Linked DNA regions of Alligator mississippiensis. The protein of the gene in region 1 purifies or fractionates together with the protein of each later gene. This does not show direct contact. Links are inferred from orthologs where the notes say so. Each region holds a gene or a part of one and is shown on either strand. Other genes may lie near its edges.

What was found.
Region 2: the proteins of SLC30A4 (region 1) and PDS5A purify together in Homo sapiens (affinity purification with mass spectrometry; 3 studies listed by BioGRID and IntAct, counting the BioPlex papers as one, with this or other methods). This does not show direct contact. The link is inferred for Alligator mississippiensis from reciprocal best matches to the Homo sapiens genes SLC30A4 and PDS5A.

The regions. Positions count from the first base shown.
Region 1 is NC_081834.1:19,129,481-19,136,846, reverse strand, and holds the start of SLC30A4 (probable proton-coupled zinc antiporter SLC30A4), read right to left. Parts: upstream 3,079-7,366; 5' UTR 2,944-3,078; coding exon 2,568-2,943; intron 1-2,567. UniProt on the Homo sapiens protein: Probable proton-coupled zinc ion antiporter mediating zinc import from cytoplasm potentially into the endocytic compartment. Controls zinc deposition in milk.
Region 2 is NC_081825.1:51,100,010-51,107,195, forward strand, and holds the start of PDS5A (sister chromatid cohesion protein PDS5 homolog A), read right to left. Parts: upstream 3,003-7,186; 5' UTR 2,802-3,002; coding exon 2,775-2,801; intron 2,694-2,774; exon of another isoform or gene 2,578-2,693; intron 2,115-2,577; coding exon 1,944-2,114; intron 1-1,943. UniProt on the Homo sapiens protein: Probable regulator of sister chromatid cohesion in mitosis which may stabilize cohesin complex association with chromatin. May couple sister chromatid cohesion during mitosis to DNA replication.

The DNA of each region.
Region 1 (7,366 bases):
TAGAAACAATGTTATAATAGAGGGTTATGTTCCCGACCAAGGGCCTGATGCCCAACTTTTTATACAAATGACCATAAACACCATATTTAAATCTGCTATTTAATTGGAAAGTGAAGGAGACTTAGGGCCACTTGATGGCTTTTTGAAAAACTGATCCAGGGATGTTTGTTTTATTGCCCTCTCAATCTCATTGTAAATTTCCCTGTAGCGCGCATAAGCATTAGAGATCAAGTTGTTGGTCTTTGAGAATCTCTTGAGGGTTGGTCCACCCCCCTGATCTGTGATACTGATGGCCTGGGCAAAGGTTCTTCTAAGGTAGTAAGCCTTAAAAGATGCAATACATAGGCTGGAGCCTTAAAAGCTGGTCCATAGGCTGGAGCAGCGATGTTGCTGGGGGCAAGAAAACAACCTTGATGTTAGGGTCTAAACCTGCAAGGTGTGCAGGATGCCCAGGGGTATTGTCTAAAATTAACAATGCTTTATGTGCAAAGCTGTTCCTTTCACAATAATTCTGAACAGCTGGCACAAAATAGTCAGTGAACCAATCCTCAAAAAGGGCTCCAGTCACCCAAGCTTTACGATTTGATTTCCAGATGACTGGAAGGCTGCCTTTAACATAACCCTCAAGTGCTCTGGGCTTTTTGGAGTGATAAACAAGCAAGGGTTTGAGCTTGAAATCACCCGCAGCATTTGAGCCAAGCAAAAGGGTAAGCCTATCTTTAGGTGCACTGAATTTTTCATCTTTGGATCCCTCACCATGTTGTTGCTTCACGTGTCAAAAAGACTCAAAGCCTTGGCTTGAATGGTGGCTAAACTCAATGGCACACAGCACTGAGTTTGATCCTGAATCCACAAAATTAAAAGTCTTTCCATCTCAGCCACAAGTCCTGCACATTGCCTTATAATAGTGGATTGCAATGAGGCTGAGCTTTTAATTTCACCACTTATTTTTTTCTTTTCTCTAATAATAGTTTGCACAGTAGTATGAAATAGGTCCAATCGCCTACCAATTTCAGTTTGCGACAAACCACTCTCACTAAGCTCAATCACATTGGCTTTCATGTCTAAGGTGATGACTTTTCTCCATTTCTTATCAGAACCCACACCATCACTAGAGCACTGCCTTTCCTTTTAATCAGCCATTTTTAAGGCAGAAACCCCTGCACTAAGAAATATCAGGAAGCCACTAAGCAGGAACCCCTGCACTGAGAAACAGCAGACTGAATACAGTACTGAATATAAAAAAGCTTAACACTAAGCACTAAGGACTTGCACTAAGAAACTTGCACATCAGGACTTGTACTGTATTGCCAAGTACAAGCTGCAAGGTTCTTGAATGGACACGGCTTGAATTTCACTTTCTATTACTTAGGTTTGCTCAAAGAGAGAACTCCCCTCAACACTGCAAAGGCATTACAGCCATAGACTACAATGGGCAGCTTGGGTTCTTTAATTTGGAAGTAGAAGAAACTCACACATCAGGACTTGCATATCAGGATGCTGGAGCACTGACTGAATGATGTATGGCGCTGGATTCTCGCATTTACAGCATGCCATAAGTGCGAGGATCAGCACCATAAGTAATAATGTAGGTGTAAAACGCAGAGCGCCGCAAGTGCAGATTGCTGCAAGTCGAGCCGCTGGAAGTCAAGGACTGCCTGTAGTGCACTGTGATAGTGCTCTTTTTTCAAAGCACTGCCTGCAACCTAGGGGGTTGTCAGTTACCCAATGGTTTGTGCTGCTGTATCAGAGGACAAGGAGCACAGATAACCAAGCTGACACACACATATCTCTTACAAACACTGGTATTCCGTGATAAGAGGGACACTGTGAACCTGAGAAGCCGCATTTCTGCCCCAAAACATTCCACCCCCTCCTATGATAAACAGTAAAGATGCAATAACTGAAAATACATGGAGAGGGAAACTATTTTCTATTTGCTTATGGTAATTTGACACATTTTTAATTAATATATTTCATGTTTCAGGTCAAATCAGCCAAATCATATTGAGTGAGCAGAACTCAATCGTTCCAAAAACCATATTGATTGAGCAGGCAGAACTCAATCAATCTAAACACCACGTACAGCGCTACAACCCCCGAGCATCTTCTCACACTGATGCTCCCAAATCCATCAGCAGGCGTCCTACCAAGCGTTTCGATGGTGACCCGATTTATTTTTCTTGCCAAAATATTTATTCCTATATTCCTTATTTTTTTCTTCTTTTCCCTTCTACATTCCTTTCTTGCCAAAGTATTTATATCTATATTCCTTTCTTTTCTTGCCAACTATTTATTCCTATATTCCTTACAATCTATGAACACACACACACACTCTCCCCCCCCCACGGCTCTGCCGAGGGCCCCCGCGGGTCACCTGGCAGCTCACAGCACACGGAAGGCCCGTTACACAGGTCGCCCCGCGCCCATCTCCTGACGACCCGACCCCGACCCCATCCCCGCCGACACCCCTTCCCCCCGGGCCGCAGCGCCCCACCTCCTGCTCCGCTCGCACCGAGTGAAGAGGCCGCCGCGAGCCCCCCACCCCCCGCCCCGGGCGCACTCACCGACGAGCTCCCCGGCCATGAAGAGGAGGTAGAGGACGGCGGCCAGACTCAGCCGCCTCTTCACCTTCGCCTGGCGGCCCCGCTCGCGCTGGCGACGGCAGCCGTGGCAGGGGTCGGGCCGGGCGCCGGGCGCGGCGCCGCGCAGCAGCAGGGAGTCGCGGTCGGGCGGCGGCCCGAGGTGGGCGCCGTTGGCGGGCGGCTCCGGCCCCGCGTCCGAGACGTCGTCGGACACCACGACGCGCAGCTTGTTGAAGCGGGGACAGTCCTCGGCCGCCTCGTCCGAGAAGTCGAAGGCGCTGGAGTCGTTGAGGAAGAGCGGCTCGTCGCGCCGCCGCAGCGCCGCCCGGATGCTGCTCCACAGCCGGGCCCCGGCCATCGCCGCCGCCGCTGCCAGGCGCCCTCATGCAGGCGGGCACCGGCGCCTCACGCCATGGCGGGCTCGGGCCTGCTGCCCGGCCGGCTCCTCACGACGCGGCGGCCGCGCTCCCCGCAGGCGAGGCGCGGCGCGGCGCGGCGCGGCGCAGCTCGCAGACGGGCCTGGCGGCGCTCGCACGCCGCCTGCCGAGGGGCGGGCCCGCGCGGCAGCCATGCGCCCGGTCCGGCCCGGCCCGCGGCTTGACCTGAGGGGCGCCCGGCCAGGCCCCTGCCTCCCGCGGCCCCTTTGTGGCTTCATAGTCTCAGTGCAGTGAAACGGCCTCGGATGGCTCTGGGCGCCCCGGGCCCCGCTTCTCCCGCACTCACCGCCCGCGCCTCGGGCCGCGGGGAGGCGGCTGCGCCGCGGCAGGGACAGGGACAGGGCGTGAAGCTGCTGGAGCCCGCGTGTGCGGCGCGGCGCTGCGGGCCCGGCTGAGTTACTGCCGTGGCATCTGTGGGAAGGAAGGCCGGGCTTTAGTCTGGCAACGGCATAAGCAGCTGCTTGGCTTGAGAGGGAGGACAGGCGTGAAAGCTTAACGGGATCAGAGCCTTTTTTACTAATGTAGCACGGCAGGGATGGGTGGTAACTCCTGCACCCCCTGCCAGTCTGTCAGCAGTTCTCCAGCGATGGGACCTCGTCTCGCCTGTGTTGCCAGACCAAGAATGTGTTAGTGGGCAGAGGGGCTCTAATTTACGGTCCAGTCTGGCAAAACTCTGTGTTGCATCAGGAGGCTGGGGGAGCACTGGAATGGGCTACCCAGGCCCACGGGTGGCTGGTGCCTCCTGAGCCTGGGGGGCACCCAGAGAAGCTGCCGGCAGCGGTGCGGGAACAGCATGTGCCCCCCCCACCAGTCGCCTACACCTAAGCCAGCGTTTCTCAGCCTGTGGGTTGCAAACCAAAAGCAGGTCATAAGAACATAGGAAAGGATCATGAACAAACTTTAAAAATGGATTCTTCTTTAAAGGAGAAAAACGTGGGAAACTGTGGTGTTTCCCCTGTGGGCTGGCAGAGTTCCAGCCTTCAGGGGGCTGCTTGGGGCCTCCGGCCCCACAAACACCCTTTCCCCCATACACCCACCCCCGCCCACACTCTGGGGGCAGCAGGTCAGGACTGAGGGGCACTGGGTCAGGACTGGCCATCAATTTTTTCAATTGGGTCCTGGTACAAAAGAGGTTGAGAACCACTGACCTACAGAAGTGGTGGGATCTCCATCCTTGGAGGTTTTTAAGCCTCGGCTCTACAAAGCCCTGGCTGGAGTCTTTAGTTGGGGCTGCTTCTGCTTTGAGCAGGGAGTTGGACTAGATGACCTCCTGAGGTCCCTTCCAGCCGTAACTTTCTATGATTTCTCCCCAGGTGTAAGGTTAGATGGTATGGCAAGGAAAATGGTTGCTCAGGTTACCTACCTATCCATGCCAGTATTTCATAGATCTATTTGCAGCATGGTTTAGAGAGTTTGACTATAAAAGCCCTAAAACTAAAATATGTTCTGTCAATACAAAGCCAATTTCTTTTCCACGCGCCTGCTTTGCTACACAGATAGGACTGATGTACGGCATACTTGTGTGCATAAAGCACCTATTGTATTTGTGGGTGTGGAATGTTAAGAAGTGCTGTAGGCTTGAGGGATTTACATCTATGGGTTACACGTTAAAGGATACGAATGTGCAGTGCCGGTCTGCTTCCACAGGAAAAAAAATTCATGCATTTTTCAACTGAAAATAGAGGCAAGGGTGATCTTCACATACTGTTTCAAATTTCTCTTCACCTGTTAAAACATTGGTGTCTTTTCTACATTTTGAGGGAAGCATGTCCATATCCCTTTCCTCGCAGGCAGCTCCCACACCGAAGCATCCTTGTGCCCTAGCCAGCCCCGTCAGTGTCTATACCTGTCACAGTGCACTAAACAAGTACACAACAGTACTTGTGTTTACAAGCACTCACCTACAGCGGTGTTTATTAGTTTACTGCAGCCTAATAGGGTTGCACGTGATAGAGGCTGAGACTTTACTGTGGAGCTAATTAGGCAACTCCACAGTAAACATCTCATGTAGATGTACCCTGAATCTAGTAATTTGCTGCCTCTACTTCTACTGAGAGGCAATTTCAGAATATCCCTGCTCTAGTAGTTAGAAACTTCCATGTCTTCAGCCTTTATTTATTCATTTACAAGTTTCTACCCACTTATTCTTGTGCCAATGTTGTACTTTGCATTTCTGATGTTTATATCCCTGATGTATTAATTGAGAACAGTCATATTTCCTCTCAACCTTGTTTGCTAGGCTAAAAACCAAACAAGAGCTTTTCATTCCTCTCCACTCCCCTGAGATGGGGGTGGGGCTCCAATCCACCTGCCCTGCCCCTCCAGTGCAGGCGGGGCAAATCCCAGATGGAAACCCCGTTCTGAAGACAGCACTGGGGGCAGTCTGAATCCTTGTGTAATGAGGATTCAGATTGTTGTATGATTGAACATTTTGAAAGCACTCTTCAGTCAGTGCATGACTGTAGAGCAGGGGTCCAATCACACAACAAACCGTCAGTATCAGTGCCCTATATTGTGGCCTTCCTTTCTTACCTCCACCTGGAACTTATTACAAAGCCTAGACTGGTGGCACCCTAGAAACAACCCAGCAGAAAAAGAAGTAATGTAACAAATGACACCTGATACAGAGGTAATTGCCTACCTGTTCACATTGTATCTTTTTGTCAGGCTATTTTAATACAACCAACACAAAACAACTTTATTCCCCTTCTTTTGCTGCTTGATTTCCTTTCTGTAGTCAGATGGGTCTTCCTCCAGTGATCCCCCCAAAGAATGCCTGTGGCAAAGACCGGCCCATTGGCTTCTAATGGGGATTTAATCTCTGTGATAACTTCTCTAGCCTCAGTTTCAACAGCACAGTGTTGTGTCAGCCATGCTAAAATTCTGTTCTTCTTGGGAGAGTTGTTATGGATAACTTGGGGTTTAGTTTTGGGACCCAGCTGTATCCTATATACCCTTTCATTCAGTAGGGCATTGAATTATTCCTCAAATTTATCAGCTCAAGACTCCCATTCTCTCTTCTTCCTTCCAGGTTTGTGGAACCAGACCAGGTCTCCTCTTTAAACTTTGCTCTTTAGGGTGTTACATAATAATCTTGACATTGTATCAAAAGCTTTCATCAGTTTTTCCCTGAAAGAGGTATGAGCATTTTCAACCTTGGATTCTAGGGTTTCTACATTGTCCAATCCTTTTGTTCTTCAGGAATTGCACGTAAGGTTTGCCAATATTCTTGGCTGATGCCCAAACTCGAGTATACTTTGTAATTCCAATGACTGCTCTTTTATAAGCTAACAAAAGGAAGGGGATATGCTAGTATCAGCTCCTGTGGTGCTGTTCTACAAAGATAGCCAGCTGAACCCCAAGAGTGCTGTTAAACTGTTTGCTACTGCACCAGTTAGTTTGTGGTTGTGCCAGAGTGGTGGAGGGTGTGTGATTCCTGCTACTGTCACAGCTTCAGGGTTGCTTATTGCTAAGTTTCTGGTCATCTTGCAAAAGCACCTGTAGCCATTAGAGAATACTGATTGCTGAACTCTGCTCAAACTTGAGTACATCAACTGCAACTCCACTGATACTCCCAATGGAGAAGCTGCTGGCTGGGGGTTCTCCCAGTCTTAGGGGACCCAGAAATCAAGCATCAGATTTTATGTACCAGTTTTCTACATCCTGCCTATATTTCACGCTATAGGGATCATCTCCTAGGTTAACTAAGATTCCTGCAGCCCAAGGTCCAGTGTTGTTAAAATCAAGACGTCCTCAAGCCATTCTTTTTCAATCTGTTGGGAAGAAACTAAGATGCCTGTACCAATCATTTGCTGTTTTTCAGTGTTGTCCTAAGGGGATGTTGCCTTTCAAAGTATCCGTGTTCCTTTAAAATTTATCTCAGGGGAACTTAGGGACAGTAAAAGTTAACTGTTTCCCATAGTGTTTGTGTTATTGCCAGTTTCCTTCTGGTTTTACAAACCACATTTATCAGATGTTCTGATAAACCAGATTCAAATTTCCTTTTCTGTCACACACATGGACATGGAACTACTACTTGGCACAGCACAATAAACAGTATTAAGTTCTGATCTTGCAGTTGGCTGGGTGCAGTTATCCAACCTGTCTGTCATTTGGGTTGAACGCAAACTATTTTTTTCTGCCTAGCCACTGAGCCAAAAAAAAAAAATCATTTAGTCATACAGCTTTAATTCCATGTACCTCTCCCAGGCTAACTTGTTCCACTCCCCTCTCTGTTATCTACACAAATAATGATACTCATTCAAGTTCATTTTCCATTGTCTCTATTCCCAGACCCACTGCAACTTCAAATCCTAAACAATCTAAATGTCACTCTATGTCCAG
Region 2 (7,186 bases), on another chromosome or scaffold:
ACATCATCTTCTAGCTGTCCTAATGTTTAAGTAAAATCAAGATCTGGCCAGACTAAGGTGGCACCAATGGAAAGAAAGAAATGCTTGGAAGCAGTCGCCTCCATTATAATATCCCTTAATATACAAAAAAAAATAAAAAAAATACTACGTATAGCAAGTTAGTCTGCACTCTTTGGATGGTTTTGAACTCCTCAACATTAGTGGATCACCAAATAGCCAAAACAGGAAAAGGAAACACCCATTTCCATGTGCTACAAGTTGTGTCTGAAGGGACGTGGCTACAGTAATATATACATTCATGAATTTGAGGCTTTGTTACTGTAATTGGCACTGCACACTCTGAAAAGCTCCAACTAATACAAAACACAGCATCTACTTAGCAACACAGGTTACCAGGAACACTTCACCCATGCATTCTGCTTGCTGTATGGCTCCCCAAACACTACAAGCTCAGCTGAAGGCCTCTGCCCTAGCATTCAAAGCTCTGCAGAGCTAGGACTTACTATAGCTAACAGATCTTTTCTATAGCAAACCCATTCCAAAAGTATGTTCCATTGGAACAAAGAAAAAAATTATGTTAGTTGACATCTGTGCATGCAAATGGCACAATTTTCACAGGAGCTGCAACTGGATTATAGAACTCACTTACACAAGACATAGCCACAGGCTCTGCAGCTTTAAGGACAAAATGTAAAGCTTAGTTCTTTGAATAATTTATTCATGTGTCATACTCCCTCCTCAATCGCAAGTAATTTTTTTGATCAAGTATAAAACTAGCCCATCTATCTAGCTCACTGGCTTCCACCAAAAAAAAGGAATTGTTATTTTTTGTTCTTGTGAAGCAGCCAGCTACTACAGTGAAGGGAGATGCACAATAAAATGAGATGGAGAGAACAGGGCAGAAGTCTCCTAGAAGTGCACAGTATTGTACATACTGGGCATGAAACCAAATCCTAGACAACTTTGCATGAGCTTCTGGGCCACAACGTTAATAACTGAGCTGCTCTGATATTTGATTGATAATTGCCTTCCATCGCTATTTTTTGCATATACTTAAAAATAATTATTTTGTGCCATTAAAAATTGAGATGTTCTATTTGCATGCTTTGCGAAGGCAATGTCACAAAAGTGCGTTGTTTCTTCTTTTTCCTGAATTTCAGAGAACCCTGCAGGTTTACTTCTGGCTTTAAACTCTTTCTCAAATGCAAAAGAAATACTGACCATTTAATGCAACTAAACATGCATTTACTTATGAAAGTCTACTGACCTTACAGAATTACTTAGTTACACTAAATAGTCAGAGAACGCCAAACTATACCTCTCTGTATAATTCATGGACAATCTGTTCTTTTTCCAATCCTGACACTCCAGAAAACCAACTTCTATGCATCTAACACACATTATAAAATGAACAATTATTAACTTTATAACGAATAACAGCCATTTGGCCTCCTAAAGCTGAATGACTTTTCTGTACTGTGGTTAACCCAGCGCATCACAACCACACTTGTTCTACAACATACATTTCAAAACACAGGAACCCAGAAGAACCTGCACATCTACCACAAAGCCTGAGTCTCATGTAGTTCACACTTACAATTCTACTCCTAACACCCCCTTCAAACCATGCTGGACTTAGTTCCTGCCCGTTTAAACCATTAGCTTGCAAAACAATAAACAAATTAGCCCACTGCTACTTGAACCCCATCAGCACTTGAAGCAAACACATAAAATCATGAACAAGGTAAAATGGTACCATGATTAACAAAAGCAACTTGTGGCCCTTTGAAGAAAAGCGAAAACAGTAAATATTTCTGCAAGGCTCACCAGACAAGGAATAGGCACCTTGAATACAAGAAAACGGGAGGCCGGAGCCCAGACAAAAATGCCTGCTCTGGGTAGTGCTTAGAGACAAATGTTGCTGGGGGGAGGGGTGCACTCACCTTCAAACGCTTGACCACCTCGTCGTTGGTGATCTTGTCCGTGATCTCTTTCACTCCGGGAGGGTAGCAGATGATCTTCCCATCGCTAGGAGGTTTTGGTTGGGTAGCAGGGAAGTCCATCCTGGGGCCGCTGGTGAGAAACTTTCCGTCTGCACAGTCCTCTACCGGCCTCTATCGGTCAGAAAACAAAAGTTCAGCGGAATGGCAGCGACTTTCTAACCCTCTTTTTCCAGGTCTAAACCTCAATTCGCAGAAGGCCCCACTGCTCGGCGAGCAGGCACCCGCCTGCCCCCGGGCCCCCTGCCTCACCAGCCGCCAGCCAGGGCCGACGCCTCCACCGGGAAGAGTCCTGGCCGCCCCCCTCCCCCCGGCGCCTCCCTGCGCGGCGCAGCGGCAGCCCCAGCCCGGCGGCGCTTGGAGTTGGCAGCCTCGCCGCGTACAATGAGCGCTGGGCCCAGATGGCAGGAGGCCCCGCGCGGGAGGCCCGGCCTGGCCCAGCGCAGCGCGGCGGGGGGTCGGCCAGGCCCCGGGGTGCTCGGAGGCGGCCCCAGAGCCGGGAGCCGAGGCCTAAACAATTAGGCCTCAAAACTATGGGCAGGCGGAGGAGCCGCCGGGGGCGGCCGGGAGCACAAACCTCGGCGCCCGGCCCGGCCTCGCGCCCCCGGCCCGGCCCGGCCCGGTCCGGCCCGGCTGCCCGGGAGGGGCCCCCGGGGAGCCGGCCCGGCCCGCTCGCCACTTTACGCCTCTTCCCTCAACTTCGGGCGGCCGCAGCCCCGCGCCCGCCCACAAAGGGCCCTGGCCCCGCGCCCGGGGGAGCGGAGCCGCCTTTACCTCATGCAGCTCCGGAAGGTGCAGCATGGAGCAGCCTCCTCCGCCGCCGCCTCCTCCGCGCCGGCCGCAGCTACAGGCTCCGCCACCGGCCGCCCGGCGCCCCGCCTGCGCCCGCTGCCTCCGTGCTCCGCGGCTCGGGCCCGGGGACAGGGAGGGGGCGGGGGAGGCTGCTCGGCGGCGGCGGCAGGAGCGGGGCGAGGGGGAGGCTCCGGCGGAGCGTGCGCCGCGCCGCGCCGCGGGGACACAGTGCCGCTCTCCGTCCGGCCGGGGAAGGACAGCCCAGGAGGAGGCTCCGCGCTGCCGCCCGCCCTGCCCCGCCCCAGCAGCTGCAGGGCGCGCCCGGCCCCTCAGCCCGCGCTGGCTTGCTCAGCGACGGGGCTGGGGCTGGGGCGCGGGGCCCGGCCGCAGCGGCGCCGCCTCCCGCTTGGCGCCAAAACCAGGGCCCGGTCCGGGCCGGGGGCCGCGAGGAGCCACAGGAGACGCGGGTGCTGGTTGCTCCCTCAGCCGGGCCCTGCCCCTGCTGCCGCGGCCGGGGCGCCCCCCGTGGGCCGCGCCAGGGTGCGGGCATTCCCCTCCCGGCGGCGCCACAGTCTCCGCCGCGAGTCCAGGCTTCGCGGGTCGTAAGTCGGTTTCTGCGGCAGAGCCGCGGGCAGGGGAGAGCCCGCGTGGGAGGCCTCTTTGGCCCGCGAATGCTTCGTCTCAGCTGGACCCGTCGCTGCTGCTGGGCTGCGATCGGCGCGAGGAGCATGCCCCTGTTTGTGGTGGATCCGGGCTCTCCCCAAGCAGGGAAGAAGCCAGGCGTGTTGGTCCGCAGAGCCTGCTGGCTGAAGACGGGCCTGGCCGAGGCAACTTCTGGGCAGCGGTTCTCCAGCGTTTCATCCTCAAGGCAGCTCTTGGAACCTGCCAGCTCCTAGTTGTCACTCACATTTTGACTGGGGGGGAGAATACAAATCAAAGGAAGTTTAGGTTGGAGATTAGAAAAAACCCTCTCTCAAGGAAGGTAGCATTGGAACAGACTAGCCATTGTTTGCAGTGTCTCTGCCCTTAGAGGTTTTTAAGACCAGGGTAGAAAGAAAAAAAAAAAGCCTTGTCTGGGATGGTCCTGCTTTGAGCAGAGGTTGGATTAGATGACCTCAAGGTCCCCTCCAACCCTAGTTCTCTATTTGTGGCACGGAACTCCAGAAAGCCCATGACTGGTCAAAATGGTTTGAATACAATAGATTCCCATCTGAAAGCCTCAAGTTTATCCTGTGATTTGTGTTTGCACACTCAACAGTGCTAATATTGTGTAATACTCCTGAAAAGATCTCAAGGCACCCCTTGAAATCATTAGCCTATGGTAGTTACACTTAAGTAATGCACACTGTATCCAAGTTATTCTTCATACGTACGTCATCAGCCAGCATATGTCCAAGGCATTGCTATCACTGCAGATCTTTGAAAGGAATTTATATATAACATGAAGGACCTTTTTATAGAAACACAGAAAGGTCCTTCCATGCCCCATGTAATGGGGAACAGAGCTCCCTACTCGGGTATCTTGAGCATGTATTAACATTTCATAGAAGCAGGACATTGGCTGCCATGGTTCCTCTGCTTACCTTGTGGCAGGTGGTGTTAGGTCTGTGCGGTATCAGAGCTGACAGCAGTGTGGAATAGTTTACCCATTGTTTGGTTCACTGGTAGAATCCTTAACTACTATGTGGGAGATCAGGGTTTGATTCTCAAACATGCATATAACTACAGCTATTGAGGCACCAACCATCTAGACCCAGTCTGGCCTTTGGATACCCATCTCAGTCATCTAAAGGTAGGGGATGGAGAGTCTTGGCATCCTCCACACTCCTGTCTAGACATATATTTCAAAGGTCCTGATGACTTCTCATGCATACACCATGATCCAGAAGGATGGCTGGTTGCCTACTAAGCTACAGGCCCATCCCCATGGAACAATACAAGCTTTCTACATGAAAGTTTTTAAAAGGTGGAGGAGGGATGCAAGCATGACTGGAGTTTCTTGATGGAAGGCTTGGTAGAGAGACAGGCCTGCTTAAGAATTAAGTACAACTCTCTTCAGGGAGAGAGACTGACCATCACCACTTGTAAGAAAATCTGACAGGATGGTGAGAACAGGAGAGATTCTGTCTACACTCAAATGCTGACAAACTTCAGATACATGAGAGGACATGGGATCAGACCAGAGAAGGGTAATACATTGTTTTCAAAGATGTAAAACCCTTCAAGTATTTGAATAAAGTTTCTGTAGATAAGAATTTCCTTTGCTAAGCATGTTCTCTCAAGTAGTTACTAGTAGGTACCCATTTAGCCTATGCAGAAGCAGGGAGGAAGTCATGGAGAAAAGAAAAAAAACTGACAAGGCTAAGGAGGTCTCAGACATGCTTTTAGGAGTCTAGAGAGGCAGAGCAATGAGGTCAGATATCACAAGGAAGGTACTGGGCAAAAGGTCTGAGCCTGAATGAGTGCCTTGTAGAACCCAGACCTAGAGAGGGTAACTGTATGCTACACAGATTTAACTGGTTTGGAAACACATGGGCTTTAGTGTTGGAATATATTGGTAGCTACATGGTCAGGTAGAGGCCCAGATTGCAAAGTCATCAAAAAGAGTTATCCAAAAGCCACAGAATGTACTTAGATTGTTTTTGTTCAGTCCAGACTTCAATGACAAGGTAGATCAGAGCTGCACCACAGTTAATCCTTCTGGATATAGTGTAGTGGAATACACCCTGGCTTAAATGAAATGCAGCTGTATCTTATTGATAATAGAAATCAGACAAAAAAAATTAATTTAGTCTGAACTGACAAGTTTTTTTTTTTTTAAATAATATATCTTTGTAATTAAGTTTTGAGTTCTACACTTCCATTCTTAAATAGCTACAGTATGTGGCAAAGTGGGCCACAGTGCTAGTCTCCCTGCCTGCTTTTGGGCATGCCACCTACCCGTCTCTCCTGCCATGCCTTGTTGTTAATTAAGGCAGGAGGCTGCCCATTCTTGCCCCAATACCAGGGGTGCCATCTGCAGCTCCGTTCCTTCCCTACACCGCAGCCCAAGCCTTGCAGATGGCATCCAGATGACAATGCTCCTGGCTTACAGCCGGACCAAGCTTAGGCCTCATTGTCAGGCCACACACACGTCGACAACTTATATTTATACTGCTTTGCTCTTAGCAAGCTCATACCTTGGGTAGCAGATGTACCATCTTTTGGGCCTATCCCACAACACTCACCGGGGTAGTGGCCAGCCAATTACCCAACCAGGTCTAAACTTGCTCTGGTCCCTTCCCAGGGTAACTCTGTACACTCAGAAAATACTGGGCTCCACATCTCACACCACCACCCACACTGGGGCGCCACATCTCCACCCCCTCACTGGGGCTCAGGTGGCCATAGCCATACCTGGCCCCAACTACCTCTCCTCAGGGTCCTACACCCCACAGGGCTCAGGTGGCCACAGCCATGCCTGGCCCCCACTCTCATTCCACAGGGCTCGGGCAGCTCCAGCCATGCTGGCCCCACTATCTCCAATGATAAATAACCCACCCGAAGATGAGGGCTAGGGTTAAGGCGCCCCTACCTGCCTTTCACCAGGGTGGTAATAGGCTTGGCATTTCCTGGGTGTTTCTGCACCACAGAGCCCCACCAAGCCACCCACTCCTGGCACAGTGCAGCTTTAGGTCATGCCCAGGAACCTCCAAACCATCCCCTTCAGCTCCTGCCCTTACCTCCAGAATGTTGCATAGAGTCTTAGCAACCAGACAATATTACTGCCTGGCTTGCCAGTAGCTAACTGCCCTGTTTATATAGGTGGCCAGAAGTCTAAAATGGCCACCACAATCAAGCACCTGCTGGCTGTTTGGCTCCACTCTTAAAGTGGCAGGCACCAACAGTGCCCTTCCACACACCTTCCCCCTTAAAATAGTTCCTGAGGAGATTTCCACTGCTGCTCCTCCAAAGCAGGCTCCCTTCAGAGCCCATGAAAGCTCTCAAGTGACAAGCACCCCCAAAGGTGTTCTGCCACACACCTCCCCCCTTAAAATTGACATTCAGGGGTTTCCCTTGGCTGCCTGCTCTAGTGGCTTTGTCCCAGCCTACTACAGCCCCTTCCACATGGTGAGCACCCCAAAGGTGCTCTGCCACAGTACTCCCCAACTTAGAGGGATAAACCTGAATTCACTGTTTCATCAGATCTAGCTTTTTATTTTTATGCCAAAAAACAAAACAAAACAAAAAAAAAACAAAAAAAAAACAACCAAAAAAACTAAGTCAAGAGACAAGCTCTGGAAAAACTTATCTAAAGTAAATCAAAACTTGGATGTATAAAATTGGTATTCATCCATGTGACTTATTTGGGACAGAAAGAAAACTTAGACTATAAAAGCATAAACTATACAAGA